Linked DNA regions of Schizosaccharomyces pombe. The protein of the gene in region 2 binds, or shares a complex with, the protein of the main gene of each other region. Each region holds a gene or a part of one and is shown on either strand. Other genes may lie near its edges. The genes, in order: mrp20, mrpl12, mrpl1 and img2.

Region 1 (6,942 bases), on a different chromosome or scaffold from region 2:
CACGTTTCTACTCATGCAATTTATATTGGCAAAAAGCAATCGTTGGAGCGAAGTTTGGCGTCGTTGGGATAATCTTAGAAAGGCTGGTGTTGTTTTCAATGAACGTTTATACAATCACGTATACCTTTTGGCCTTCGAAAGTAAAAATGAGCGTGTCATAAATTATGTACTTACCAACATTTTTGAGGATATGGTTAGCCAGTCACCCCCCATTCCAGCTAGTAAATTAATGGCGACATCTTTAAAAAAATGTGTTCAAAGCTTACCCGAAAAGTATGCACATTCGTTTCCATCAGTGCGAAATTATATTGCAAAAATGGAAAACTCAATGACGCATTGAATCTGATGTTATTGTACTTTCTACGTATGCATATACGCGCATTTGTAATGTTTACTTTAAAACCTACCCCTTCTTTCATTAGTTCAATAAGAACAAGTAATAAATATTAACAATAGTATTTTATAATTTACCCAGTTGTAAATAAACCTAAACTAAAATTTTTTAACGCCGATGCAAAAATTCATGCATTTAGTTACCCAAAAATATAAATTATCGATGCTTTTTTGACGGCCGATTGTTTTTGGCAAGTCGTTTCTCTTTGAGCTCACGCGCCTTTCTAATTTCAACAGCTGATTTAAGCTCACTGTTCACCTTAATACCTATTCCTCTTTCTTTAGCCTCTCTATTACGTTTATTTTGTTTGTGATAGTTATCACGGAACTTATCAGCTGGTTTTGGAGTCTGTAACTTATTATGTTTATATCGCTTATTTTCCCGTATAGGAGAATCGTTGGCACCGAATGCTTTAGATGCTTTCCATTCATCAAAACGACCACTACGATATGTTGCAGGCAATTTCACGCCGCTTTCGCCACGAATTATCTTGGGAGACCCTTTGGACCCGTCTTCGTCGTTAATTATATTAACAAATTTCTTTTTCTTTGGATCCCAACGTTGTCCCCCCTTCCTTGATTGTTCAATTCCTTCGTCATTTGTTAAATCGAGAATAGCATGACGAGCTGCGGTAGTAAAATTTTCACCAGAATTTATAGCATAGCCAGTTTCTTGAATAGATTCCTTTGGAGCGTAATGAGACATATAATACTCTTTATCTTTAAAATCAGTTGTCTTCTTTTTTGATAACTCCTTAGGATTTTTAAATACCTCTTCAAGCTCTGACTCTGAAGCTTCTGACATATTACCAGGAGAACTGTCAGTGATTTTATCAGATGCAACTTCAGATTTTATTCCTTTTGGTTTTACTTTGTTTCTTCTTTTCCGCATGATTTCTGCAGCTTCTGTCTTTAAGTGACCACGCTGACCGATTTCAAATACTGTTTCTGATGGCCGATAAGAAGAAACTTTTGAAAGCAATTCAGCATATTTCTCCTCGGCCTCAATTACCGATACATCTCCAAATAATGGATTGTTGGAACTCCAGCCCTTGCTATCAACCAATTCCTTAGCTCTTTTAGCACTCTCAGCACTACAAGTAGCTCTTGTGCGAAAATATAGTTTCTCACCCCTTGCAGCAACGTTGGAAAGTTGCTGTAGCTCAACGTCTCTCGAAACTATTCTTTGTACCCATTCTAGTAGCTCAGCAACAAGTTCTTGGGGTAATGATCCCAAAACAATCTGTTTTGTAAAATCACAATCCGAGTCAGTTTTAACCTGCTTCGAGGATGTAACTAAAGGTCGGTTTAAAAATAGTTGTAAGTCTAATAAATAACCAGCATCTTCTGCTCTAACCAATGAATACGCCCAGCCAGTGCGTCCTGCTCGAGCTGTACGTCCTACACGGTGAACAAAAACTTTTGGTTGAGGAGGGAAATCATAATTAATAACATTAGCAAGTAATGGGATGTCAATACCACGAGAAGCTACGTCTGTAACGACTAGTAAATTTGTTTTTCCAAGTCGAAAATTATTAATTTCATTGAGACGCGCTTCTTGGTCCAAAGACCCGTAAATTTTTGAAACCGAATATCCTGCTTGAACAAGTAACTCAGAAACATACTCGACATGATGTTTTGTAGGAACAAATACTAGAGTAGAATCTGGTGATCCAGATTCACTTCCTTTAAGCGCTAATTCTAATGCACGTTTTCTTTTCTTCGGATTATTGACATTTCCTATTTCTCTTGGGCGCACGTTATCTTTTAGAGGAAGCTTAATGATATCTTGTAGTATACATAAGAGAGCAGCTTCGCGTTCAGCGGTTTTAACAGAAAAAAAGGCACTTTGTAGATCCGCGGAAACCTTGGATTCTACATCAAGGCGTACAAGAACCGGGTCTTGAAGTCCAGCCTTTGCAAAATCAACAAGAGTACGTGGAAGTGTGGCAGAGAAGAGAAGAGTTTGACGAGAAGTCGGCAAAGCATGTAAAATCTCTGTCAATTGAGCAGCAAAACCCATTTCAAAAAGTCTATCGGCCTCATCGAAAACGACATACTCGATTGAACTCAACTCCAATTTCATTTCCACCTTTAAATGTAGAAATCTTCCAGGAGTTGCGACCACAATATCGGGTTTTCCGGATAGCAAACTAAATTGCTCCTCTAGACTGACGCCACCGACGATAGCGACAGATCGAAGATCCGTACCTTTAGAAAAGTCTTTGACGACTTTCACAGTCTGAAGAGCAAGTTCTCGATTTGGCGAGAGAATTAAGGCGCGAGTATTAGAGTTTGCTAGAGTGGACTTCAAATGCTCAATCATAGGTATAACAAAAGCTGCAGTTTTACCTGATCCAGTACGTGCCATACCTACAACATCACGACCTTCCAATAAAAGGGGAATCGTTTTGCGCTGAATCGGCGTAGGAGCTTTAAAACCCTTCTTAAATATTGCTCGAAGTAAAGTTTGATTCAATCCTATAATTAAGTTAGAAAAATATCAAAGTAATTTAGATTACAGTGTCTTGAAGCATAATGCAAAGTGACCTTATGGCAAGTAATCACGAAGTTAACATACCCATCGATTGGAAATTAGAAGCCTTTCCATTCCCCTTTTTTCCCTTCGTCCTCCTGTTAGACTCCAAAAGCTTCGAGGCAATATAATTACCATCATCTTCATCGCTCACATTTTCACCAACATTTTCGTGCTTATCTTTTTGATTATCAGTAGCAATATCAACAGGAAAAGCTTTTAAAGAATTTGATATATCGACCTCGTCGGACGTCTGGAATCCGGACATTTAAGACGAGTGAGCTGCACTTTTGTTGATTTTTTAGTTCTCTAGTGTCGCTGGCAAGAAAATTTACCGTATGAATAACAACTATCAAAAGGGCCTTCTTAAGTTTGATTTAACATTCTCATTTCAATTGTTCTGCTGCGTTTCTTTATATTAAAAATAAGTAATCCAACGTATTTTAATAAACTATAACGAACTTGAAATAAGCTGCTTTATATGTCAGCAATACTACACTACGCTACGATATACTACGTTGTGTATCACTATATGTCACATGTTCATAATGTTCTATTTGCTCTATCAGCTTTACATGATAAGTTATCTAGAAGGATATAATATCATTTATGATAAGATGACTATCAGTTATAATCCTTGTTATTTCAAATGTTATAAATTGAGAACAACTGAATTTGATTCCTCAGTTCAGTTATAAGATATCTCAGCTATAGATAACGATATATCCTATATATTAGAATACCTATATCCAATTCCTACTTATACTACTTGCGTATTACAATATAATAGATCACAAGGAAAACTCACCGCAGTTCTACGTATCCTTAAATCAGATACCAAATTGCGTAGCTTACATATATTACGTTCTAGGATAATACAACCAGAGACGTTATTTGTTAATAGTATACAACTGAGCTTTGATGCAATAAAGCAACCGGATTCTCAGCACGTTAGTACTAAACAACATTTGAACTCCGTAATCCAACAAATGGTTAATAACTAATCGTTTACCTAAGGCCGTTGACATCAAATTCATCTTGAAATCTACTGTTGAGAAAAACCATTTGTTTCTCTTTTTTTGCATAACTAGCACAAGTTGCTTTAGCCTTGAAGTTGAAACTCAATAGTAAATATGAGTAAAATTGCTGGGAAAAGATTAGTGTACTTTCCAAATATAACGTTCACGTTATGCAGAGGACTAAATCTTCAACCTAAATTTGCAGTATTTCGCGTACCTCTTCATGTTAACAAGTTTGATGTTCGCGATTATTTGCAACATGTGTACAATTTAAAAGTCGTATCAGTTAAGTCAAGAATTTATCAGGGCAAACTTTTTAGAAATCAACTAGGACAGGTTAAGAGACCACAATCTGAAAAACGCGTCATCGTTGAGATGGAAGAACCTTTCGTTTACCCAAATGCCCCAAATGATTTGAAAGATTGGCAGGAGGGTGAATTACTTCCTGATGGTTCTAATGTGAAAACCCTGAGCAGGTATCCAAAGGTCCTTGAACAAGTTGACATGAAACGGGTGAACGAAGAGTTAAGTAAGTTACAAGATAAGCAGATACTCGAATCACAACAGAAAATCGCTAGACTTTTAAAGAAAAAGTATTAGTATTTTTTTCATTTCCCAGGTAATGTTTTATTTTGGTTTCCGTCTATTCATTAATGCCTACAAAAGCATAATTATAGCCTCAAATGCCTCATCGAAGCGGTATGGTGTTTAATTGCATTCATTATAACCTCTCTTCTTTCATCTATTAAACTTTCAACGCCACTTGTTTCATTTTGAAATGTTCTAAAACTATTTTGGAAATTCTTTTCATGTCGGAAAAGCACGGTCGTCAATTAATAAAATAATAATTTTGTATCACAATACTTCTTAAATGCGTATCTCGCAAGTTCCAGCCCTAGTTGAGTACCTTACCCATTTAATACTTTTGTATTTGCTATTAGAAGGTTCACTGACCCTTAAGTATTGCACATGTAGACCGGAGCTGGTAAACATAAGAATATTGAAATCTAAGGATATTGGAGGCTTCGCCCATATTTGCTGGTTAGTTGTATTAGATAACTCTACCTCAGCGTAAAAAATAAGTTCAGTTTCGCCTAAAAACCGGGGAATTTTCCAATTGATAATATTTTCAGAGGGCTCGTACCCTGCCTTTCCTCGATTTACACGAGGATTAGCTTTTACCACATTTGTGGGAACCGGTATCCGAAAGTTCAAAGAAGAAGAAAGTTTGTGTGGATAGTCTGCTCGTATACTGATACGATAAATAATTTTTTGTTTCGACAACTGTTCGACAATAGGAACAATTCTAAAAGGAATATTTATGTTTTCATGTGAACGATAACTCATTAATTCAACCTCACCATCCGGCGGAATGAAAGTAATTCTGTGTTCATTTTCAAATTCCGGCAATCTAACACATTGATGAAACTGGCAATCTTCTAAAATGACAAATCCTCCGTTAACTGAGGACGGATTTCTAGAGTTATTTGATTTAGACTTGCTTTCTGATTGTTTTAATTTAAAATCAAGCTTATCATTTAGCCCAAACTGACATTCAGGCATTCCAGAAAGCATTGCACGCATTTTCACGACACCAGAAACATCTGAGCGTAGCACATTTCCAGTAGAGCTAATAAGTAAATTCATTCTTTCAACAATATCAATGTAGATACTATTTTTTCTATACTTAATGCCAGCTCTACGCCATGGTACAGACCCTGGTATTTCAGAGGAAGTGGTGTGTGCCAACTGAGAGGAATGAGACCTTTTCAAGGACAGTGCATTGCCTTTCTTTTTGACAGCTGTTATGCTGACAGATCTTGCAAGTGCGTCAGGTTCAGTAGTCTGAATGATACCATAGTCTATCATTTCATCCAGCAACTCGAAAATAAAGGAGACATTGTCTTTGACTGTATTTTCATTCAGTTTCCCAAAATAATGTGTCAAATCTTGAATTAGACTCTCCAAAAATTCCAAAACAATCATAACATTTGGATTTCCTTTGGTAATGGCAACCACGTAAAGATCCTCGTGTTTCGTGTAAATGTAAGTACTTGATCCAATACTGACAATTGGGTGCCGATAATCAGTATTTGTTAGAATAGCAACGCGAAAAATTTCAGTTACTGATTTCCTTTCAAATGAAAAATTAGTGAAAATGAATCAAAAGCACAAAAATGTAATCTACATACTTTAAATCATGCCGAAAAGTCTTGCAAATGAGCGTGTCACCTTTCAGGTTAAAAATAAACAATCCCTAATATAGTTAGCTACAAATAGAATATTAATACTAACCGAAATCATGGAATATTGATAATATGCAAATGTAACAAGTACTGAGTATCTGACTACAGGCAGTTGAACGTAGCTTTGAACGATATGCAACGAAACGTACAGGCTATTCAACCCCGTTATAAGAATAAACGTAGACGGTCCAAGAGGTATTTTATTGCAAATGGAATAGGAGAAAATTATGCCATATAACTGTCAGTAAACAAGATGCTTTTAATAAAATTAAATAACTTTATTTCCTAGTAGGATGATTGAGGCAGTAGCAAGCAATACATTAAAATTTACAGTCCTTACAGAATCATGTAAAAGAGATGACGTTTCGACTGTCTTGCGGTCATTACCAATTTAAATTGGTGAATGTCGAGTAATGTCTTTGCAATAACTAGCAACTGCTGAAGCAATTCTATCTTTGTTTGATATCGCATATTAATAAGATGCTTATAAAGAGGTAAGTAGGTATTTAAATTACACCAACGACTTTTCATTCCTCAACTTCGCTTCTTGCAATTCATAATGCAAGTGGATTTAGTATAAACTAGTATACTTACAGTAATTACATAAAACATGGACCAAGTTTTATCGAAGGTTACAACTACTGCAGCAACATATGCAACAGCTTATGCTGTTAGAACTGGACTTCAATTGGCTGGTTCCCTAGTTGCTAAACGATTCTCTAAATACATACAAGTATGTTGGTTTTTT
Region 2 (8,074 bases):
ATTCACATTTACTTACTTACTCATCAGCCAGTTGGTTATATTTTCCTTCTCTTACAACTATTTCGTTCAGAATTTTGGTCTATTCTCATTTTCTACCCTTCTTCTTTTCTTTTTTGCATCCTATTTATTCTATTAATTTGAAATGCCTCTAAAAAGTATGTCTTCTTACTTCCTTTGAATTTGTATAGTGTGCTAATTTAATTTACAAAAGATTATACAAAGACTACGTCTAAAAAAGAACCTAAACAATTAGATATTGCTGCTTCTGATCAACAAATTGAGCAGTGGAGTGATCAGATCCACAAATTAGATAAAGCGATTCGTTCTACAATCGATAACTCTCGACTCTTCTATGATGCTTGGAGATGCATGGTTTGTATAGCTCCCTCCGTCACTGCCTCTTGGATTTCTTTGTACAGACAGTTACCTCCTGAAAAACAACCTGCTGCTTCTGTCGGAACATTGGTCGATTGGAACAAGGCCTTGGAACGTCAACGTCGTGAAGTCTTGCTTGCCCTGCAAAATTTCCATGTCATAGTTATTGCTCCTTGCAAGGAGGTCAAAGGCTATGTAAAGAAGGCAGTTGAAATGATTAAAAGAAGAGATAAAAAAGTAAAAGAACTTGAAAAAATTCAAAAAGAATTATTGGTTGTTTACGAATTGCCTGATCCTGAAACCAAAAAAAGTAAAATTAAAGCATTACAAAGCCAGCTTGTCCGTGTCAATGGTGAATTGGATGACCTTCAGAAGCATTTAACTTTGTCCTTCCCAACTCTTATTGCAAAAAGTCGTGTTTTTTTTGGACAACTTATGAAGCATTTTTACTGCTTGCAACTTCAAATGTTTCGAAAAATGCACAACATTGTTCGCCCTTGGGATTGTTTTCAAGACGATATTCCCCAAACGTGGCTCGTTGAGTTTTCCTCAGTTTGCCAGGCTGCTGAAAGCATTTCCTTAATTGCCGTAAACAACAACCGTCCTCCCGTAGAACTTCCAAAATCTGGTGATGTTTTATCAAATAGAGAGTGGGAAGCTGGAAAAATTGATGCCATGAATTCTCTCATCGCTCAGAATTTGCATACTTCAGCGTCTCAGGTAAGCCTTTCGCCTATGGCTAGTACCGCTAGCTCTTCTGTTACAAATTCTCCCGTTGACACACATACTCCTTCAACTCCAATTATGTCGCGTCCTCCATCCATGAAAGCCCTTTCTTCTGGTGTAGAGTCCCAAGATGAATCGGTTGCTAGTAGTAATTTTCAAGTTCCAATTATATCGAATCCGCTTTTTAAATCCCCTGCACCTTATTCACCAACATCCGTTATCTCCAATCATTCCTCCACCGGTAAATCCCTGGTGATTTCTGAATGGGCATACCTTGCCTCAGGAAGTGCGAATGTGGTGTTTGAGTATGTTGGTAAAAATCCTTACTTTCAAGACAAGGTAATTCGTCTTCGACGTCGAGGACAGGTTTTTACTACAGAACAAGTTTATGAATACTATCAAAATGTAATTTATCCTTTGTTTGCTGGAATGGAAAGCTTTTTAATTGAGGTTTTTTTGCAGCCAGTTACTAGGGATTTTTTGCTGGCGGCCCAAAATGCTTCTGGTATTTATTTAAATTTAAATGAGCAATACTGTTTGGTAATGAAAGATCTCAAAGATGGAATTGAAATGAAACCAAAATGGTTGACTCAGTCCCCTGCCGCTCCACCTGACTGGGTTGTTTGTCGAACGTGTGCCCTTAGCCGTATGCGTGGTAGACCCGTTGGTTTTTGTCCTCTACAGCTTGATTTCAACAATTGGCCCAAGTTTTTGTGCTGTCTTCAAGGATTTGTGAGTCCTGATATCGCAATGAGATTGTTTCAGTCTGGTATACTACGGAAGCTTCGTGACCTACAAGAGCAATACTCTCGTACTGATGTTGCGTTAGCGATGACCCTTCGAGATGTGACTTTATACATTGGTAAAGATCACATAACATTACTAGATTTAGATCCTAAAGACATGAATACCAAAATGTCTAAATGGGAACGTGATGAAAGGAATTTGATTGAAGGCGGTTGGTACTATGGTCGTGGGATGAAGTCTACTGACAAAGCATGCCGGAGCAGCATAAAGTAATTATCTCATTGTTAATTTTTTTTCTAATATGTAATACCACCATCAATTTGTGGATTTATTGCAATATTTCAATACATTATGCATTTTTGTTTTATTTGTTATATGCCTGATAATTAACAGGGAGATAAAAGCATAAAAATAAAGGGTTAGATTTATTTGTTCTCTTCAACTAACTGTTGAACACTTAATAATTCTAGAGCATTTTTTACTACGAGGTTAGTTTATTTTCTAATTATTACTAATGAAAAATTAATAAGATCCATTGAACATATTTTAGATATTTGATGAATGATCACCTAAAAGTTGTAGTTACTATACTTAACTTGCCAACCCCCATCTCACTTGCACCTTACTTCACCTCAAGTATAATTTTAAAATACAGCATGTTTCGCATCGCATCACGCCAAACAAGAAATCTGTAAGATTGTAATTATTTTTAATTAACAAATTTATACTAACTTTAAAAGACGTGCTTTATCTTCCAGTAAGAACTGGGCAAGATCGTTGGTAAACACGCGATCATTTCGAGCTGCCGCATCTGTACAAAACAATAATGCCCAAATTGGGGAAATGGTTGACAAAATAAGCTCTCTATCATTGTTAGAGACGTCTGAACTTGTAAAGCAATTAAAGGAGAAGTTAAACATTGCTGAAATAGCTCCGATGGCAGCAGTGGCTCCAGCAGTAGCTTCAGCCGCTCCTTCTGAAGAGAAAGCTCCTGAGGAAAAGAAAGAGGAAAAAACCACCTGGAATTTGAAACTCGAATCGTTTGATGCTGGTTCGAAAGCCAAGGTGATCAAAGAGGTGAAGTCTCTTTTGGGATTATCTCTTGTGGACGCAAAGAAATTCGTTGAAAGTGCTCCAAAGGTTTTGAAAGAAAATATTTTGAAAGAGGATGCTGAAGCTATAAAATCGAAGTTAGAGAAACTTTCTTGTAAAGTAGTCCTCGAATAAACTGGGTTGTTTATAAAAAATTTCATTTCTATGCTTTTCCGCCATTCAAATTCTTTGGGCAACCTTTTTGTTATTGCTTTGACATTGTGACACGATTTACTTTCTTGGATTCCCATAAAAACTAAGCTACGGAGGGAAAATTCATCATCTCTAAAAAAACCAGATATTAGGTAATGTATAAAATACTCCAAAATTATTAGTTAATTATATGTTTTTATTCTATTTGGGTTACACTCTATGTTTTCGCTCTTCGGTTCAGGAAGTTGCATGAAGACATTCATTAAACTTTTCGTATTCATCCTTTAGGGATTCCAAATCGCTTTCAGTAATTCCTTGGGTAGTGTTCCATGCAATTTCCGCTTCTAACTCTGGTTCTGAAATAGCCCAAATGTTTTCACGCATTCTTTTGTGTCGCTCTCTGTCTTCTTCAATCCTCTTAAGAATGTCGTTTTTTGAAATGGCTCCTGAAGTACTGGTATCACCTGACTTGCTCGCTTGTTCATGGGCTTCTACCGTAGCCATAGCATCTTTATATTGATTATCATCGATTACCTTCTTTTCATGCAAAGACTGGAGTACTTTTCTAACCTCTGGAGCGTTAGCAGCTCCAGCAGCTCCTATAGGAGCTACGTTCTGGACTAGCTTACAGATATCTCTACTAATCATATTAAGATATCCACCTGTAAGGCCATTTTTTAAGCACATCTCACAGAGTGTGTCCACAAAGTACATGATATTCACTCTTGTATTGAACGAACCTGACTCTAGTTCCTCCCATATACATGAATATAAGTCTTCTTCCAAGTCTAGATGCTTAATTGCAAATTGCGCGGGTTTAATTTGAGAGAATTGCGATGCATTCAATTTTCCCAAAAGCTGTAGAAATGTCATGCGGCCCTCAAATGGATCCATTTTATTATTGCAAGTATATTGGTAATTGCGAGTGCAACAACGATTTTTGTTATGATGGTTTTTCTTATACTTCGTGAACTTTGAATTCCAAAAACATCAAGAATAATTTTTTAAATAATAATAATGTGTGTTGTCTTAAATTTCAAATATAGAATAAACTTCCTTTGCCAAGTGTTCATCTATTCTTGAAGCTGCAATCTCTGAAATTTGAGACTAAAAAAAGCGTTGGGATACTATTTTGCGAAAGGACGTTGAACCTTTCCAGATTCAAATAAATTAAAATATACTCAGTGCATAAGTAATATTAAGAGGTCTTCAAACTGTTAGCATGTTGCAAAATCTGTTGCTTTAAGTAGCATGTTACTTTATTTCAAACACTATTACTGTACCTTTAAAGAAACTAAAATCTCATTTTATTAAATACTACTTTTTTAGTAATTTCAACAGCGAAATAGTAAATTTTCAAAGATATTTTTATATAGCCCTGATAAAGTTATAACCATTCACCAAACTGTTAGGATCTCTGAGTATAAATAGCGGGAAAGAATAACTACTATACTTTAATAAAAGCACAAAAACCGACCTTACTTATATGGTAAAATGAAACCCATGAATCAGTAAACAATTTTTATTTTTTTATACGCTCTACTAAGTCGTACATACAAAATCAACATTTCCTTTCAATAAAGAACTGCTTTGAAATCTAAAATGGCCAGCGACAAACTTATAAGGTTTGCCTAAAAAGTAAATATAATGGAGAAAAATACTCTCGAAAAGAGAAAAAAAATGCAGGATGTATTGTTCAAGGAGAAAAATATAACAACGGGATAATGATATAATGGAAATACACCCGTCAAGTTGCAAGTAAAAGCGATCCTAAGCAGAATAAGCTTCTACAAACTCAACATAATCAGGACTTAACTCAACACCTGATCCTTGAGCCTCCTTGATAGCATTGCAAGCTTCCTTCAAGTAATTATCCTGACTAGCCTCGTCTTGAACAATTTGAGCCAGATCCATCTTTATATCCGCAAGTTTTAACAAGCGTTCAGGAGATTTATCCAGAGTATAAATAACATTCCAGGTATCGACAGAATTGTTGAGCCAGCTGGAAGCCTTGTTGATTAGGTCATCTACATTACTTTCACTGTTGTCGAGCAAATCCATATAATATTCCGCGAAGGTAGTATAATTATTTAGAACAGCCTCTTGAGCGATTAACTTATAATAGGCAGGAGTGTTGGGATCGACAACAGATTTTAACCACAATGCAGTTATAATTGAACAGACATCAAGGAGAAAAGCTTCAGAGAATTGATCACCGAATTGAAAGAGGTAGGAAGAGAGAATGTATAATGGGCGTAAAGAATCGGGGGTAAGAGCATCAAAATATTCAGTGGAATCCTGAGCAAGAGGACGAAGGTATTGGATGGCCTTCTCAATATATGGGTTTACCAACTGAGTGACCGGGATGTTGGCAAGAGATTCCTCGTTATCGTGACGCCAAACAAGAACACGTACCTTCTCAAGGTAAGCACGAGCAAGAGCAAGGAAAAGTCTCGATTCGTTGCCAGGAGCATCCAAGCCAAGTTGAGCTCTCTCGATTGCAGCATCTATGTAGGATTCTTCGGTATTGGTTTCCTTAAGACGCTTTTGTGCAATTTCGAAAAGCTCGGACACAGCCAAAAGAGCGGAGGAATAGGCCGCGTGAAAGTCCTTGGGTAATGTAGAAATGTCCTCGGTATTCCGTAATATTCTATCAGCCTCGTGAATGGTACCAAAGACAAGGCTCACACTAGCATCTATATCGTCATTTTCCAACTTTTCGCGACTCATCTCGTATAAACCCCAAAGTTGTGAAATATTGTCTTCCTCTGTGTAAACAAGCATTGTCTCATCCTCCATTTCTCCATTGTCGACATTTTCGCTTCCGTTTTCCTTACTAGGAGACGAGTTTCCTGACAGCTCATAAGAGGCTTCTTGCTTTTGTTTTTCAAGCTGCTGCTGCTTCTTTAAAGAAGCAGCAGCGCGTAGACCTTGAGGTCTTCTTCCAATCATAACGAACCGTTAAATTAACCTGTTTTGCTAAGGCAGCGTTGACATCGAGTGATTTTTTCTACCCAAAAATCGCGCGGGAAACTTGTTAGCAAGTTACAACGTAATGTGGTATTGTTGTTGCGTTGTCGGCCATGTGCGTTAAACCTAATAAGAGCATGGCGTAACAAAAACAATACCGTCGTTTTGTGGCTGTGGAAAACGAGTTACCAGAAGCTTGGAGAACTTGACATGTTAAAATGTATTAGTGGAAAGTATAGAGGCTCGTAATACAGTCGTACATATTGACTTGTTTACAAAAATTGATGATTTTAAATTGTGAAGGGGAAGCTTATTTTAAACATCTAATTATGCAGCAAGATACATTAACACGTTTTGGATTTTCATTGTTAAAAAAAAAGAGCAAAATTAAAAAGGAGATGGAAGAAAGTAAAGCTTTATGACTTCAGCGGATCTAGAGCAATTGAAGTAAACATATCTAGCCGAAATTTAACTTAGTAAATTGATTAAGATAGGTTTCTGTAAAGGAGATCTATGATATTCAAAATGCGGCAATATTTCTTAGGGCTTATGGCGCAAAAAGGTGCTATACAAAATTGCCAGCACGAGATAACATTGAAGATTTGGCAGTTTTGTAATGTAACGCTAATCTTTATTAAACAATAATATAATACGAAATCGCAACTTTTATGTGGTTTTGACCGTTTCTTTGGCAGGGAATTTGAATTCGTTTCTTAGTTTTTGAACGATATCTGATCAACGAGTTTGTTTATTTTAATTTTTTTAAACGGCTGCTTTATGGTAATGGACCAAGATTGCTCCAGCACCTTAAAAATACAGCACTAGTATATATATTTCGGTCGCCATATCAATAAATTACTTGATTCAGGTGCCGAAGTAATAAGTACTTAGGATGAATGTACTAGATGAAATTGAAAGTTTGTTAGCCAATTATAAAACAAAATAAAGCCTTTTTTACCATTTGATGACAGAATTTCTAATTTTTTTAATATTACTAAGTTATCTTGAACAATTAGTCATGTCCGAGGCTCGGACATAACAACATGCTAGTTTATAAAAGCACTACATTGTTTCACACAGTAAAAGAATACTCAGATATTCATTTACATTATTAACATCATGACCTTGCCTGAAAAATTACTGAAGATTACTCCCAAAATCCTGGTTATTATGGGAAGCGTTCGCAGCAAACGCTTATGTCCAACTATTGCAACGTGGGTTGGTGAGATGGGAAAAAGAGAGACTAATTTTGACTACGAAAAAGTTGATTTAACTGATTGGCCTCTATCTATGAGCGATGAACCCGGACTTCCAATTATGGGAATAGATGTGTACACTCAGGAACATACTAAGGCCTGGGGGTCCAAAATTGCTGGAGCAGATGGTTTTGTTTTTGTAACTCCGCAATACAATGGTGGATATCCTGCAATCCTTAAAAATGCCTTAGACCACTTGTATCACGAGTGGAATGGAAAACCGCTTTTGATTGTAAGCTATGGTGGCCATGGAGGAGGAGATTGTGCTTCGCAACTAAAACATGTTGCCGGTTTTCTTAAGATGCGAGTCGCGCCTACCATGCCAGCGCTCACGTTACCCAGAGATAAAATTGTTCAAGGTGTAGTCGACCCAGCGGTTGAATTTACAAAGCACCTTGGTGAACTTAAGAAAGCCTTCGGTGAGTTTTCTCAGTTGTTTGAAAGCAATCCTGAAAGGAAACCCTAGATAATTAAAACATAAGAGTATTTTGAAAGCTAGTATAGAGTGCATTTAATAAAGTCTGTTTTTTGTTTTTTTTTAAAAAGCCAATTTTCCAGTAAATCTGTTTGGTTTTAGATTTTATTCACATGGATAGATCTATTACTGTCATATCAACTTACCAATGGACTCTAATACCTTAATCCTTCCTGCTGTTCGTGTTGCCTAATGAAGGATTTTTAGCACGCATGTATTAGTAAACACGGTTCATATTCAGTCATTGTGTAATACGAATTTGTTCAGCAGTAAAAGTTCC
Region 3 (7,458 bases), on a different chromosome or scaffold from region 2:
CATTTTGTTAATTTAGACGAATTCATTGTTCATAAACAGTGACAAAATCCGAGGTTTATACAAGTATTTGAAGAAAACGGTATTCGACAGAATGAAGCTTTAAGTCTAAAATGGATTAGAAGGAACTGAAATGAGCTACATAAATTGCTCTTAATATTGGAGAACTGCTAACATTTATAACCTTTTTAATGATTACACTAAATCTTCACCTATTGCTTTTCACTTACTTTAATGGTCATTCGATTCAAACTTATTTTATCTAAATCTATTACCTTTTGCCAGTAAAATACTGTATAGTTAGTTAGCAAAGAATATAGGCGAGTAAAGCTCTAAACTATCATACTTCTAAAATCAAAGAAAACCAAAGAAAAAAGCAGATGAAAGAATTTAGTAACATCTGGATTTTGAGTAATAAACTGATTGACCTAACTTATTGACAGGTTGTGCGATATCAGTTGGTTTGCCAAAAACAACAATAATTGAAAATTTATGAATGGATTCACCAGAATATTAGCCTAATTGCTTTTTGATTCATTTAAGGAAATTCAACTTTTAATTTGAAATCAGCGAAAGCCGAAAAAAGGATGGTATGAATTTGAAATATTTTTTAATGCGAGCAGGTAATATTGACTTTAATAATAAAATAAAATAAAATGTCATTATAAATGCGATTTGAGGATTTAGTAGAGATATGGATAAAACAGATATGAACCAAACTGCATGAATATTAGGAAATCAAGTTGTAAATATAAAACAAGCATTTTTAAAAAAAAACAAAAAATATTACTCTAAAAATGTTAAGAGGTCAATTTAAGGTTTGTTTACTCTCATTTGTTATGGTGGTAATAGTTTCAGTCATGCATCATCGAAATGTAAACAAACAGCGATCCTATATATACCAAAAACAACAACCATTCCTTTCCATCACACATCTTTTTTGAGATAAAATGAACAATTCAAAACTCTCTGTCCCCGGACAGTATGAAGATGAAAGCAGTACTATATATGTAGGAAATATAGATTCCCGACTTTCTGATGAAGAAATCATCAAACACTTTTCAAAATATGGTATGAACACACAAGTCAAGGATAAAAACACGAGGAAAAACATTAGAAAACATAAATAAAAGCGATATATTAATCAATTCTTTAGGACAAGTAGAATCCATCTTTCGTCGATTACTTGATAGTTTTTATCCTAAGGAAAAAGCGAAACCTTTTAAACCTCCTAAAAATGGAGTGCAATATGGGTTCGTCAAATTCGTTAATGCTGAAAGCATTGAAGAAGTTCTAAAGGACGCTAAAGGAATGACTCTGGGCCAAAGAAAATTGTAAGTGACTGAAGGGAAAAATTAGAGACAAGCATTACAGAAAAAAAAATCGAAAAATCATTCTCCAAAAAATTACTAACCTAAAAAAAAGGACCATTAAAGCAAGAGTCGTAAATCCTGCGAAACTGACAGACAAAAAATTCAAACCTAACGATACGTCAATCACTGCGAACGTGTTCAATCCTAGCATCCAAAACAATACAGATGAGGAAAACGTTAAGCCAGGACTCAAACAGTCTCAGATTAAGGAATTTATTCCAAATGTCGAAGAAAGAAATTGGGAAACTGTGAGAGGCATAAATTCGCGTAACCCGAAGCCAGAAACAACGCTTACCATACCGTCTCTTGGTTTGGAAGATATTAGCATGCAAGTTGTACCAAATGCCTTCGCTTCTACGTTACCCCTTAGTATCTTGAACCTACCTGCCGAAGTCACACCGATTGACTTATATAACCACTTTAAACAGGCTGGTGTAGTAAAAGGGACGGCGGTCAGCCAGTTTCTTGACCAAAGAGGGTTCCGGTATGGCGAAGTGATTATGGATTCAGTTGAATCATGTCAAAATGTAAGCTCAATATGAAGAGAAAACCCCAATATTTGCATAATCTATTTCATGATACTAACCTCATTATTAAGGCAATAGAAAAATTAAATAACGTTCCATACAAAGGAAGCATTTTAGAGGTCAGTATAAAAAATAAAGCCTCTTCTTCAGTGAAGTCAATTCCCACAACGCCGACTGGTGAAAGCTTATGGCCTTTCCCATCGGAAAACGCTAACAAAACTCAAATAAATATCGAAAATGCTACATGTTCGAAGATGACATGGATTATGGGCTCACCAACTAAGGAGAAAAGCCAATGGGGTAGCGTTTCAACTACCGGTGTTTCAAATCAGCAAAATCATCCAGCCGCTTGGAACCCAGATAATAAACCTCAGTCAATCGTGCATTGGGACTCTTTACGTGAAAGCTCTCCAAGTATCCCTAATTCTCCTATTGACCCTTCAAATCTATACGTTAAAAATTTAGATGATACCGTCATCACATGCAAGAGTCAGCTGGAAGATTTATTCTCACCCTTCGGGTCGATTTTGTCTTCCATGTTAGCATGCTATCCAAATTCAGGAATCTCCAAAGGTTATGGTTTCGTAGCGTTTCGTCAAATAGAGGCTGCCGTTAGAGCCAAAGACACATTGAATGGAATGATGGTTGGGAAAAAAAGGATTTTCGTTTGCTTCGCGGAGCGAAAGTCTGACAGAATTCGTAGATTGCAAGCATTTTTTGCAAACAAACCTACTTCAGAACAAACAGCGCAGCAAGACAACAAAGCTTTGTTCGTCAAACCAGAAAGAAGCTCTACTGTTACCATCCGAAAGCCAATAGAGTCTTCTACAAACAAAATCTCTGAGAATCCCACGACCCTTTCAAGTAAGGTTGAAAATAAGAATGAGCCTAAGACTGGTGAAAACAAAGAACCCAGTCAGACAAATGAATATGTTAACTGTAAGCAAGAAAATAAGGAACTTAGTGGACAGTTATCAGGCAACTTGGATATAAAGAAAGAAGCAGGAAAATTGAGCCATGACGGAGAACAAGGAAACTTGTTAAAACCATTGGTATTCCATGCTAACACAAAACTAAATAACCGAGGGTCTGCTAAGATGGGTTCAACAGCCACCAACTTGAAGAAGATACAAGACATGCTTCACAACAAAAAGCTGAGTAATGCATACTTTGTGCCAAGAGCAAGAGCAACAACCTGTACAACTCTTACGTACGTAACAGTTGAGCCCTCACATTTCCAAGATGAGGACTGTAATGAGTCAACGAACATGCTTTCACTTGTCGGGTACATGGACAGCTATCCAGAAGCTACATCCAATATCCAAAAAATGAATTCCTATCATATTAAAGATTCAAATAAGGAAAATTTTTTATCAACAACAAAGGTTAACAACAATTCACCAACAACTATTCAGTTGACGCAGATTTAACAAGATGCGGTGAAGATATAACTATGAAACAAAATTCATAATGCTATATCCCTCAAAACTCCGATGAACAAACTTTTAACTCCTTAAAATATATACATCGTGAACGGATGGATTTGCTAGTATAACCCTACAGTATCTTACAACTACCACAACGTGGAATTTAAACGAAACCGTTTATTTTTAGTCTTTAATCAAAAACATTATAAGGAAATTTGATTTGAAAGATAATTCTTTATTAATTCGAAAGTTGACAGCTGGATCAGATTTGTTTAGAGATTTATGATTTTAGCAGGTTCATTGACTGACATCCAGTAGCTTGGTGACAGTTTGACGAACCAGATTAAAAACCATGAGTTCATTAATAGCGTTAGGTAAACGGCAAACATTATTGTCACATAATGAATTTTTAAATTTTAAAAATCAAAAGGGTTTCTGCAAAAGGTTTATTTCTCAACTAAACAAGAAATCCAATTTTCCCGCTCTTGCGATGACAGTTCCTGAAGCCACAAAATATCTCAAATCTGTGAGCATTTCTGTTCCATATGTTGGGTCTTATATGCTTTCAATTGCTTTAAAAAGTAATCGACGCGCTCCGTCAGCTCGTGGTCAAATTGCCTTTCCTCATCCATTTCAAGAGCCTCCTAAAATTTGTGTGTTTGCTAAAGGTGCAGCTGCAGATGAAGCTTTAAAATTGGGTGCAACCTATGTTGGTGCAGAAGACTTAGTAAAAAAAATTCAAACAGAGCCCCTTGAATTTTCAAAGTGCTTTGCTCATCCCAACTCGGCAGAATTACTACCACAAGTTGCTAAATTATTAGGATCAAAACGTCTTATGCCTTCAATAAAACGAGGTACTATATCAGATGAATTGAAGCCACTCATTGAATCTGCCCTCACAGCTGTTGACTATCGGCAAAATGATGCAGGCTCGATAAATTTGCCGGTTGGAAAACTAGGGTTCAGCGACAAGGAGCTACAAGAAAACATCGAAGCACTTGTATCAAATGTTCGGTTTACTTTGGCCAAACTGCCTGGAAAAGTTAAAGTTACCGTAAAGCATGTTCATCTTTCCGCCTCACATGCTATTGCAATTCCTCTCCAGTATAAATAATGATTAAAATGTTATTGCATGGGAAATTTAGTCTACAGTCTTGTCATTTGTAATATGTATTACATGATTAATTTTGTACAAATTAGTGAAATGTGTAATGATATTTTATCTAGTAAATTTAGAAGCCTGTTTATATTTATTTATTATCATAAACTACTTTTTAAAAAGTATGAATGAAACGTTAGAATACAACATTATGAAAGTTACTCTGTGCGATGCCATTTCAGAACAGGCGATTCCGGAGAATCAAATCTGTTATCACAAGCTGAGGTATCTACGTTTTCAGCCGTAACCCACTGGTGATTTGGATCAAAAAATAAGGACATAGGGTTTCCCATACTCGCGTTTTCAACATCATTATCTGAGGAAAAAGTGTCCGGATGTAGAGATTGGCAAGTACAAAGAGCCTGGTAACATGAATCAACATCAGTAACATATAATGTTAGTTCTAAAAAATCATCTGTGAATTCATTTTCATCTTCGGTAGAAGGAGCTTCATGCAATGTTCCTGACGACCGTTCAAATTTAAGAATGTGATCTAGCAAGGGTCGAATGGCTTCACCCTCTAATTGAACATATACATATGGCTTATCCTTGCTTTGTTTCGCATGAAGAGTAATGGTTTCATATGGAATTTTCCAGCCAGAATTCTGTTCTTCATCAAAAAGGATAAAGCTCTGTGAAGTTACTAATAAAGTTATCAATTTGCCCAAAGGAAAACTTTCCTCATCACTTCTAATTTTATAGGGGACTGTTTTTTCTTCAAAATAAACGATTTCTTGATTTGGCAACAACTTTTCACCATTTTCAACTTTGCGAATTAGGTCCTTTGGAAGTGAGTCAATTTTGGTAATCATAATTACTTCTTGCTTCCAATAGGTATTTAAGCATAAAAATTATTAAAAAACAGTAATAAGGCCACCTCTACCTGATAATTTATTGAAAGAAAAGGTTTACTGTGCGTTGTATTCTTTTGAAGTACTCAAATACAATATCTTCGCATATTAAGCATTTCGCAAAATCGAAAATATATTTCTACTCTTAACCACACGAATTTTTTATAAATTGAACCATTATGCCAAACAGGATATCGATTTTACTCAAATACTTTTGATATGCAATTTTCGTAAATGACAAGCTAGTTATTCATTGCAATTACAAAACAAACTCATGAATATAAATAGTTTTGTGGAAAAAATAAAGGAAAGGTCTAAGGTCTTTATGAAGTAATCCTCGTTACCCAAAAAATTGGGACTCAAAACTTTTGAAATTGGATTTTTTATTTTATATAGTAAACAGATTTATAAGTGTAGCGAAATAAAGCTAAGAATTTTTTAGCAACCAATTCATTGCTATATAAGGTTATACATTGATTTGGATACATGTAATGAATTAGCATCAGTGGATCGTTTCTCTCATAAAGGTGGGTCTTTCTAAAGTATACGAGATTGACTTTCAAACACCAACTTTCCAAATCAAACTTCGAAAGACTTTTTTAAAGCTAGTGACAAGGTTGGAGCAGAAGATTCTCCAAGCCAGTTTTTAGTTAATTAATAGAATGAAAACAAATCGAAAAGTTCAAAAATCAAAATTAGCAAGGCAAGATTCTGGTCATCAGTATATAATTAAATGATGGCAGTATGTGGATGCAAATCCTCCAAGATAATTTTTTAGTGAACAATTTAATCAATAAATTTTCAAAGTAAGATACCATAACATGCATGCAGGGTTTTCTTCAAATATTTTTTAGGACAAAAGTATACTTTAATTTACGCATTGAATTTAAGAATCACTTGTTGCGTAAACTGGAATCGTGGTTGACACTACTTGGCAGCTGTAAATACAGCAAATCGAGTTTGTCAAGTATAGATTTTGTGGCATTCTCCATTGAGTTAGAACTGTTTTCAGGAGATGCAACTTTCATGATATTTCCATGTTGTTTGTACACTTTAGAGGTTGTAAATAAAGAGGGAGTAGCCATTAAACCTTTTTCATCAAATGACAAAGTATAAAGCCAAACAAGACTTTGAAACCAATTATTCATAGGGACACTCCAAATAAAGTAGCGAAAATTGGGAACTCGAGGATGTACATCATTTAGCACAGAGTTAGCTAATAGTTTAACAGCTTCGTCAGTAGTTGATAATTCTTCATTCATTTTCTTGTATACAGGTAGAGAAAACTGAGATATAATGGCTAGAATAGAATCCAATTCAAGTCTTGAATGCCAAGAATTAAACCACGAGTTGGAAGGTGCAAACAAATTTGAGTCAATTTCTAAATCTTTTCCAAACGGATTGGATGCACATTTTTTAATAAGTTCTGAACTAGAAACATTTTCCGGTATTTTCCCACGCAACTTTCTAGACAGAACCAATGGAGAATCTGAGAATACATCTTGAAGGACTGTCGGGACAGAAATCGAAACATTTCTACTCGAAATATGTGATAAGCCACCGCGTGAACTACTGCTACTAAAAGGGGAGGAAAATTTATCTAATTCATCGAAAGGTGAATCATCTTCAACGGTAGCAACTTTTTTAAAGTCAGTATTTTGGAGTGGTGTTCCATCTAAGGAGGTGTTATCGGATGATTTAGATTCAAAATCACTACTTCCTTCCGAATTGAGGGCCACTAAAGGCTGTGATTTAGTCTGAGCAACGGCAGGAAGTTTCATAGAATTAAGATTCAAAAAAACTTGCTGGAGGCGAATAATAGAATAACTGAGATTAGGGTTTTGAGAAAACTTGTTTTCAACTATACTAGAAATAGCCTGTAACAGGTATTCAAGAAGCAGATGATTGCGCGGATTACGAAAAAGAAACCGAGGAGATGAAAGAGATGAACAGAGTTGCATTAATTTGGCACACGTAACGAAACTTAGGTTTTCAACAAATGGTGCAATATTGCATATGGTCAACAATATAACAGGAGATAAACTGCTAAACGGAGATCTCTTCACTGCTGAAATATGAAAGCTAGACTGGAAGGCGTAAGTAATAAAATTAAAATAAACAATT
Region 4 (7,292 bases), on a different chromosome or scaffold from region 2:
ATGCAGCTGAAAAGATCGATGAAGCCTTGTCGATTTGTTATAAAAAGGCTAGGCCTGTTTACATTGGTATTCCTTCTGATGCTGGCTACTTCAAAGCATCTTCATCAAATCTTGGGAAAAGACTAAAGCTCGAGGAGGATACTAACGATCCAGCAGTTGAGCAAGAAGTCATCAATCATATCTCGGAAATGGTTGTCAATGCAAAGAAACCAGTGATTTTAATTGACGCTTGTGCTGTAAGACATCGTGTCGTTCCAGAAGTACATGAGCTGATTAAATTGACCCATTTCCCTACATATGTAACTCCCATGGGTAAATCTGCAATTGACGAAACTTCGCAATTTTTTGACGGCGTTTATGTTGGTTCAATTTCAGATCCTGAAGTTAAAGACAGAATTGAATCCACTGATCTGTTGCTATCCATCGGTGCTCTCAAATCAGACTTTAACACGGGTTCCTTCTCTTACCACCTCAGCCAAAAGAATGCCGTTGAGTTTCATTCAGACCACATGCGCATTCGATATGCTCTTTATCCAAATGTAGCCATGAAGTATATTCTTCGCAAACTGTTGAAAGTACTTGATGCTTCTATGTGTCATTCCAAGGCTGCTCCTACCATTGGCTACAACATCAAGCCTAAGCATGCGGAAGGATATTCTTCCAACGAGATTACTCATTGCTGGTTTTGGCCTAAATTTAGTGAATTTTTGAAGCCCCGAGATGTTTTGATCACCGAGACTGGAACTGCAAACTTTGGTGTCCTTGATTGCAGGTTTCCAAAGGATGTAACAGCCATTTCCCAGGTATTATGGGGATCTATTGGATACTCCGTTGGTGCAATGTTTGGTGCTGTTTTGGCCGTCCACGATTCTAAAGAGCCCGATCGTCGTACCATTCTTGTAGTAGGTGATGGATCCTTACAACTGACGATTACAGAGATTTCAACCTGCATTCGCCATAACCTCAAACCAATTATTTTCATAATTAACAACGACGGTTACACCATTGAGCGTTTAATTCATGGTTTGCATGCTAGCTATAACGAAATTAACACTAAATGGGGCTACCAACAGATTCCCAAGTTTTTCGGAGCTGCTGAAAACCACTTCCGCACTTACTGTGTTAAAACTCCTACTGACGTTGAAAAGTTGTTTAGCGACAAGGAGTTTGCAAATGCAGATGTCATTCAAGTAGTTGAGCTTGTAATGCCTATGTTGGATGCACCTCGTGTCCTAGTTGAGCAAGCCAAGTTGACGTCTAAGATCAATAAGCAATGAGCAAGCTATTGAGAGTGGAATTGGCAAACAAAGTTTCCTTTGATTTATATGTTTTTTATGATAAGCCCATTCAATTCATATAGTCTTTTAGTATAATGATTAGTTATTAAATTTATGTTTAAAGCAACTTTTTAGTTTAAAATTTTTCAAGTCAAGTTAGGGTGTACGTAAACAAACAATACCTTGGAAGCAATGAATGAAAAGGTAGAGTTAATCCAAACAATGTGGAAACCAGTTTCCTTGCATCTACTTACTAGTTTCGCAGAAAAATTGCTAAACTGCTTAAAAGCCAACTTTAACATTCTTATTTCTTACATAGGAGCTACCGTTCCATTCACATTGTGATATGCTAAGAATTTATTAGTTTTACAAAAATTGGGTGATTCTACTATTTAATACAGTGGTTTTGTAACGTAATGAAATTATAACGCTCGTTTATTACGATTTCCTAGGTAATGTAGCGGGTAAAGGCAATTGACTGATATTATGTATCACTCTATCACAGCAACGGACGAACGGTTTGCGTTGTTGTTTATAAATGGTTCTGCAACGCAGCTTCTGACTTTGACACTCTACACCACACCATACTTCAGCGCTCTATTCTTTCGCATAGGAAGGTAAGCTGCATTTCGTGGCGTTTGGTACCTTGAAAAAATATATTTTGGTTAATATTCGTTGGCTTTTTCTTTTAATTCTTGCTACTAATTCCAAGAATTGTGTAAGTATAGGAAGAGGCTGTGTTGATCGGTTAGTTTCGTAATTTCGGCATACTAGTGATTCCTAAAATACCGACTACTAATAATTATAAAGCTTAGATCACTTCTTTGGCTAAAGTAATTAAACCAGGAAGTCTTAAAATTCCGCTTTTTAGCATCCTAAAAATTTCCCCGTCATTTCTCAAAAGTGTTAAACGCGTGAATGTTCTCAAAGCTCTGTTTTCTTTTCTTTGCTTTTTGAACGGCTTTGTCTTTGCATTAATTTTTGTGACGCGTTTTGTGCCTCCAATAGGTAATTAATCTAAATCCGTTTAAAAAGTTGTAGGTGACTTTTTATTTTATTACGTTTTGCTTTCATAAAAAAATCCATTTCCTTCTGTGCGTTGCATATTCATTAATATATCACTTTGATATACATTAAGGTGAATTAGAAATTATTGAGCTCCTCTCCCTTTGTTATTATTTCACGCTTTTTCTCAGGCCCACTTATAGTCCTCTGAGGAATTTTTTATCTTTTTTTTTAAAATACCAACTCAGTTTTTGTCGAGTGATTCTTCTTTTTTATTCATTCATTCGGTTAACTAAGTTCCCTATATTATTTTGTTTTCTACTACAAGCATTACGTTTTGTTTTTCAGTGAGCTTGTTTCGCATCTCTGACCAAAAGGAAGCAAATTGACGGCTAGTGTATTTTTGACTCGTCACATTCTTTTGTCTATCTTTGCCAATTTTTCAAATTATTATATATCTTCGAGATTAACCTCCATTCTTTAGGCTTATTCTCGTAATTTCCTTCTCAATTGAGTTCAATTTTATTAATATTGATTTCATCTGATATATTTTTTCCTTGGACTTTTTCTAGATTATATTTGTTTGCGCGCAATTTACTTATTAAATATGCCTGAAGGAGCCGGTAGACCGTGGAATCTCACAGAACTTGAAGAAGAGAAGTTGAAGACTATGTGGAGTTATTTGTTTAAGCTCTTCGGCATTACTTTACTCGAAAGAACTGAATCTTGGTACACAGTGAAGACACACTTATCTGATGATTCAAGTAGTTCCTCATCACATCGTTTAAGCAGCGTCTCATATGCGAAATCCCGTACACGACTTGAACTAACGTCTTCATCTCATGGCTCGGACACTCGCAGTTTTAATGATAAAACCAAAAATGTGCATTTGGAAAGAGTTGAAAAAATTGCAAGTGAATGGGACCCGGAAGGGCTTAGAGTTTGCTTTTGGGATGCTGTTAATTGTGATGATCCTGATGGCCTTCTACTTCGTTTCCTTCGTGCTCGAAAATGGAACGTTGAGGCTGCGTTGGAAATGTTCATGAAAACCGTTCACTGGAGAAGTAGAGAGATGAATGTTGGTGAAATTGTATGTAACGCTGACCACCTTGATAAAGATGATGATTTTGTGCGTCAACTAAGAATCGGAAAGTGTTTTATATTCGGTGAAGATAAACACAATCGTCCAGTTTGTTATATTCGCGCACGTCTTCATAAAGTTGGTGATGTCTCACCCGAATCGGTTGAGCGACTCACAGTTTGGGTCATGGAAACTGCTCGTTTAATTCTCAAACCTCCTATTGAAACTGCTACTGTTGTTTTTGATATGACTGATTTCAGTATGTCCAATATGGACTATGGGCCATTGAAATTCATGATCAAGTGTTTTGAAGCACACTATCCCGAATGTCTGGGTGAATGTATTGTACACAAAGCGCCTTGGCTTTTCCAAGGCGTTTGGTCCATCATCAAATCTTGGCTTGATCCAGTGGTTGTCTCAAAGGTTAAATTCACTCGTAATTATCGTGATTTGCAACAATATATAAATCCTGACAATATTTTAAAAGAATTCGGTGGGCCTAATCCATGGAGATATACATATCCAGAACCCTGTCAAAACGAAGCAGAAGCTCTGAAGAATGTTGAAGCTCGTAAGAGTCTTAGAGCAAAAAAGGATGCAATTGCTAAACAGTACGAGGAAGTTACAATGGATTGGATTTTGAACAATGGTGACATGGCAGAAGTGAAACAAAAACGTCGTAAGTTAGCTTCACAACTTATTGATGCATACTGGAACTTGGATAAATACATCCGCGCACGCTCAGTTTACGACCGCATGGGCCTAATTGCTCCTCAAACTTCCCATACTTTGCTTCTTTCTCAACCTACAAATGGAGATGTCAAAGAATCAATGGTAGAAGTTACTAGCTCGGCAACTTAGTCGGTCGTAACTTTCAATATTCCTGCTATTTTACATTGTAATCCTTCCCCTTGCCTATACTCCCGTATACTGACTAATTGTACTTTCCCGTGTTATTCTAAATAAGATGCTGGCTCAAAATATGATTGTATCATCTATTAATGCATAACTTTCAAGATCTTTTATATCAATTAGTTACATATGAAATCTCTTTCCTACGTTGATTTTTACACCCCTTTTCGTTTTACCATTTCCTTATCGCTTTAATTTTTTAGCACTCTCTTTAATGCACTTAAAATCATCTAGAAAGGGATAACTTTTTTTAGGTCTTATGGCTTTTCATTGAAGTTGTTGGTCGCAATACTTATCCATCCATTTTGTCTTTATTAGAATCAATGATCAGTTTTATTTGCAAATTAACTTAGATTTCTTGCTATTTATTATTATTTTTTATTTTATTGTAGGAAAGCGGTTCGAAATTAAAAAAAACAACAAGCTGAACACCTAAATGCCTACTCCAAAATATAGTATTAATTTAATGAGTATGCACCTTCGCTGAAGTATATTCCGTGCCGTAAAAATACTTTCGAGTTTAAACACGCGTGAGGTTCAAGCACCGATTAAATTTATTTAAAACAAGAGCGTTTTATTTTATTTTAATTGTTCTTAGTGAATCACTTAATCTTAGGCTCCTGTTTGACAGTTGTTTAAAACTTACAAATTTTTGGAGGTTATGATAGAAATCCTCTTTATTCGCGAATGCACGACGACTTCTTTTACACATCCACCATAAATTCCTGCAACTCGTAGAAAGTTTTGTTGAACCAAATGCGATCATCCTTAAAGCCAGTGCTATCAAATTTGAGGTTCAACTCAACAATTGCATCCGAATCACTTCGGTTTCATGTTTCACGTACACCTTCAAAAAATCTCCCAGTCTATCTAGACTACAAACAACGAGGAACGAAAATTCTGACTTTAATTCGTAAAATCCATGGTGATTCTAATGTAAGTATACATATTCCGTCAGCAGTAATCTCTTGGCTAAAGAAAGTACAAGTAAAGTCACTATGCTGCGGAAATTGTTCTATCAACTTTTTGCTTTAACGGCCAACCCAAGTTTATTTTAACTTCTTTTATTCGTTCTCTTTTTTTTTTCTAACAATATTTTATCAATAGGCTTTGCGGCTCAGGCTCATTTCCACACTTAAAATGTCACCGAAAGATGTTTATGTAAACAAGTTAACAAATCAAGTTGTCCTAAAGGGAAATCACATAGTCACAGTTCGTGAATGGTTACAAGACCAAGGTTTTTAAGTTCCTAGAATTTTTCCTTTTTTAGATTGTTACTATGTATGTACGTATCCTTCTTTCAAAGGAATGATAAAGTTGCTTTTTATCAACATAAAACTCTCGAGCATATATATCAATTTGGCTTTTTAGCATATTACTTTTACTTCATCTCCTTGTTACAGCGGTGATAATGTCAAATAAAACACAGCTGTTGCAAATAATTAATCTCGATTCATTTCTTCTCATCATACGTGGTTTTCAAACTTGACAATGGAAAAAATGCATCTTTTGTGATGGTTTTCCTTAACTACCTTTAAATAAATAGTTATTCGAGCTTCAGTAGAAACATTCAAGAGGTACTTGCGTAAAAAGAAATTCAAACATCTGCTTAATGTGAGGCGTCCAAATGCTAAATACAATCTTTTTTTTGCTACCTATTCGTTTGTTTTGTTGAATTTATAAACGCTTAAAGGAAATTATAATATATATATCGAAACTCCGGTGTTTTTATTTTTTGACTGTAGTTATAGACAGAATACGTTTAAGGCTATTAGGGTATATAACTAAATTAAAAATTCTTTTCTCAATATTGTATAGTTTGTAAATTGACAAATATTAAATGCTATATCGAAAACATACCTTCAAACATAATCTATATATCTGCGTCATACGCCCATGGACTGTTCTTTACCTTTCCCTTCACACATACTTATAATCCTGAAATCTCAACGACTTTTTCATTATTTTTGAATTGAACTTGGATTTGTCTGTGATAGGAATATTTTGACAAACATTTTTAGCTTTTAAAATTTTTGCTTTGTTCTGAAGACGTTGATTTACAATTTGCTTATGAATTAATTATTCACGAGAAGAAAATTCCTTGTAGTTTATCCCTTTTTTATTGGTGATTATAAGCTGAATAACTCTTAATGTTGGGAATTATATTTTCTTTAGTGAACTGAGGCTTTCTCGAAAAATACTTACGGTTATCCATGATTTAATGATTTTCTGTTTTTTTTGTTATTTTTTTTTCGTTTATCAAAAAGTGGTTAAGCATTGACACGATATAAGGCACTTTATTTCCGTGTTGAATTTTTTGTTTTGTTTTTTCTTGACATTAATACCTTACTTTCCTTGAATGCGAACAAACCGCATTCATTTGTATTCGATTATCGAAAGCCTTTTATTCCTTTTCTTTTTCTTTTTTATTAATGCCAGCTTGTTATTGTGCGACATCAACGTCTCTTGAAAATAATGAATTGCTATACAAAAATATTCGAAACTTGTTCTCTACTAGCAGGAGTTTTCCAATCGAACAAGAATGGATGAATTTGAAATCGATAAGTCAGATGAAAGACTTTTTTTCAAACTTTCCTGGTAATAGTAAGGCGAACAACCACTTTCTCTGTAATTCTCCATTGAAATTCGAAATTTTTAACAATGAGAAATCTGTTAAACCTTCAAATGGGCCTCATCTGTTCACGAGATGTTCATGTCGTTGTAATAAATTATTGTCTGGTGATTATATAACTCAACAACAACCAATTGATGCTTCTGCTGAACATTCTCTTAACGCCAAAGGTATAAATACCTATTCATTGAAGAACTGCTTTCAAAGGAGTGGTTTTATAGGATCATACGAGGAGAGTTTGTTTAGTGGTCACATGCCTTACTGTTCATCAGTACCTTTTGAGTTTTCCATAGAAATTGGGGTTATTTCGTTTTGCCGATGCAAGCCTTCACTTGTTTTCCCGCCACATTTAAAAATAAATTTTGTGGCTTACTCACTCGTTGGA

What was found.
Region 1: mrpl12 (region 2) and mrp20 share a complex: the UniProt entries of both Schizosaccharomyces pombe proteins name them as parts of the mitochondrial large ribosomal subunit.
Region 3: mrpl12 (region 2) and mrpl1 share a complex: the UniProt entries of both Schizosaccharomyces pombe proteins name them as parts of the mitochondrial large ribosomal subunit.
Region 4: mrpl12 (region 2) and img2 share a complex: the UniProt entries of both Schizosaccharomyces pombe proteins name them as parts of the mitochondrial large ribosomal subunit.

The regions. Positions count from the first base shown.
Region 1 is NC_003424.3:398,998-405,939, forward strand, and holds mrp20 (mitochondrial 54S ribosomal protein uL23m), read left to right. Parts: upstream 1-3,888; 5' UTR 3,889-4,062; coding exon 4,063-4,548; 3' UTR 4,549-4,815; downstream 4,816-6,942. Other genes in the region: ATP synthase complex assembly protein atp25, read left to right, coding at 1-340; ATP-dependent RNA helicase Dbp10, read right to left, coding at 551-2,874, 2,975-3,197; AP-2 adaptor complex subunit Apm4, read right to left, coding at 4,816-6,082, 6,141-6,205, 6,244-6,252; SPOM_SPAC31A2.10 (Ran GTPase binding protein), read left to right, coding at 6,805-6,927. UniProt on the Schizosaccharomyces pombe protein: Component of the mitochondrial ribosome (mitoribosome), a dedicated translation machinery responsible for the synthesis of mitochondrial genome-encoded proteins, including at least some of the essential transmembrane subunits of the mitochondrial respiratory chain.
Region 2 is NC_003421.2:1,158,006-1,166,079, forward strand, and holds mrpl12 (mitochondrial 54S ribosomal protein bL12m), read left to right. Parts: upstream 1-2,450; 5' UTR 2,451-2,504; coding exon 2,505-2,539; intron 2,540-2,588; coding exon 2,589-3,075; 3' UTR 3,076-3,330; coding exon of another isoform or gene 3,331-3,987; 3' UTR 3,988-4,311; downstream 4,312-8,074. Other genes in the region: ipk1 (inositol 1,3,4,5,6-pentakisphosphate (IP5) kinase), read left to right, coding at 143-155, 212-2,121; Lsk1 complex gamma subunit lsg1, read right to left, coding at 3,331-3,987; protein Nro1, read right to left, coding at 4,864-6,045; SPOM_SPCC4B3.06C (NADPH-dependent FMN reductase), read left to right, coding at 7,183-7,785. UniProt on the Schizosaccharomyces pombe protein: Component of the mitochondrial ribosome (mitoribosome), a dedicated translation machinery responsible for the synthesis of mitochondrial genome-encoded proteins, including at least some of the essential transmembrane subunits of the mitochondrial respiratory chain.
Region 3 is NC_003424.3:1,788,462-1,795,919, reverse strand, and holds mrpl1 (mitochondrial 54S ribosomal protein uL1m), read left to right. Parts: upstream 1-3,468; 5' UTR 3,469-3,676; coding exon 3,677-4,438; 3' UTR 4,439-4,520; downstream 4,521-7,458. Other genes in the region: poly(A)-binding protein Crp79, read left to right, coding at 948-1,068, 1,154-1,331, 1,423-1,897, 1,969-3,327; protein saf5, read right to left, coding at 4,642-5,295; ftp105 (Ubp5 interacting protein Ftp10), read right to left, coding at 6,228-7,421. UniProt on the Schizosaccharomyces pombe protein: Component of the mitochondrial ribosome (mitoribosome), a dedicated translation machinery responsible for the synthesis of mitochondrial genome-encoded proteins, including at least some of the essential transmembrane subunits of the mitochondrial respiratory chain.
Region 4 is NC_003424.3:586,036-593,327, forward strand, and holds img2 (mitochondrial 54S ribosomal protein mL49), read left to right. Parts: upstream 1-5,031; coding exon 5,032-5,211; exon of another isoform or gene 5,212-5,382; coding exon 5,383-5,520; 3' UTR 5,521-6,117; downstream 6,118-7,292. Other genes in the region: pdc202 (pyruvate decarboxylase), read left to right, coding at 1-1,277; csr102 (sec14 cytosolic factor family phosphatidylinositol transporter), read left to right, coding at 2,890-4,224; SPOM_SPAC3H8.04 (chromosome segregation protein), read left to right, coding at 6,708-7,292. UniProt on the Schizosaccharomyces pombe protein: Component of the mitochondrial ribosome (mitoribosome), a dedicated translation machinery responsible for the synthesis of mitochondrial genome-encoded proteins, including at least some of the essential transmembrane subunits of the mitochondrial respiratory chain.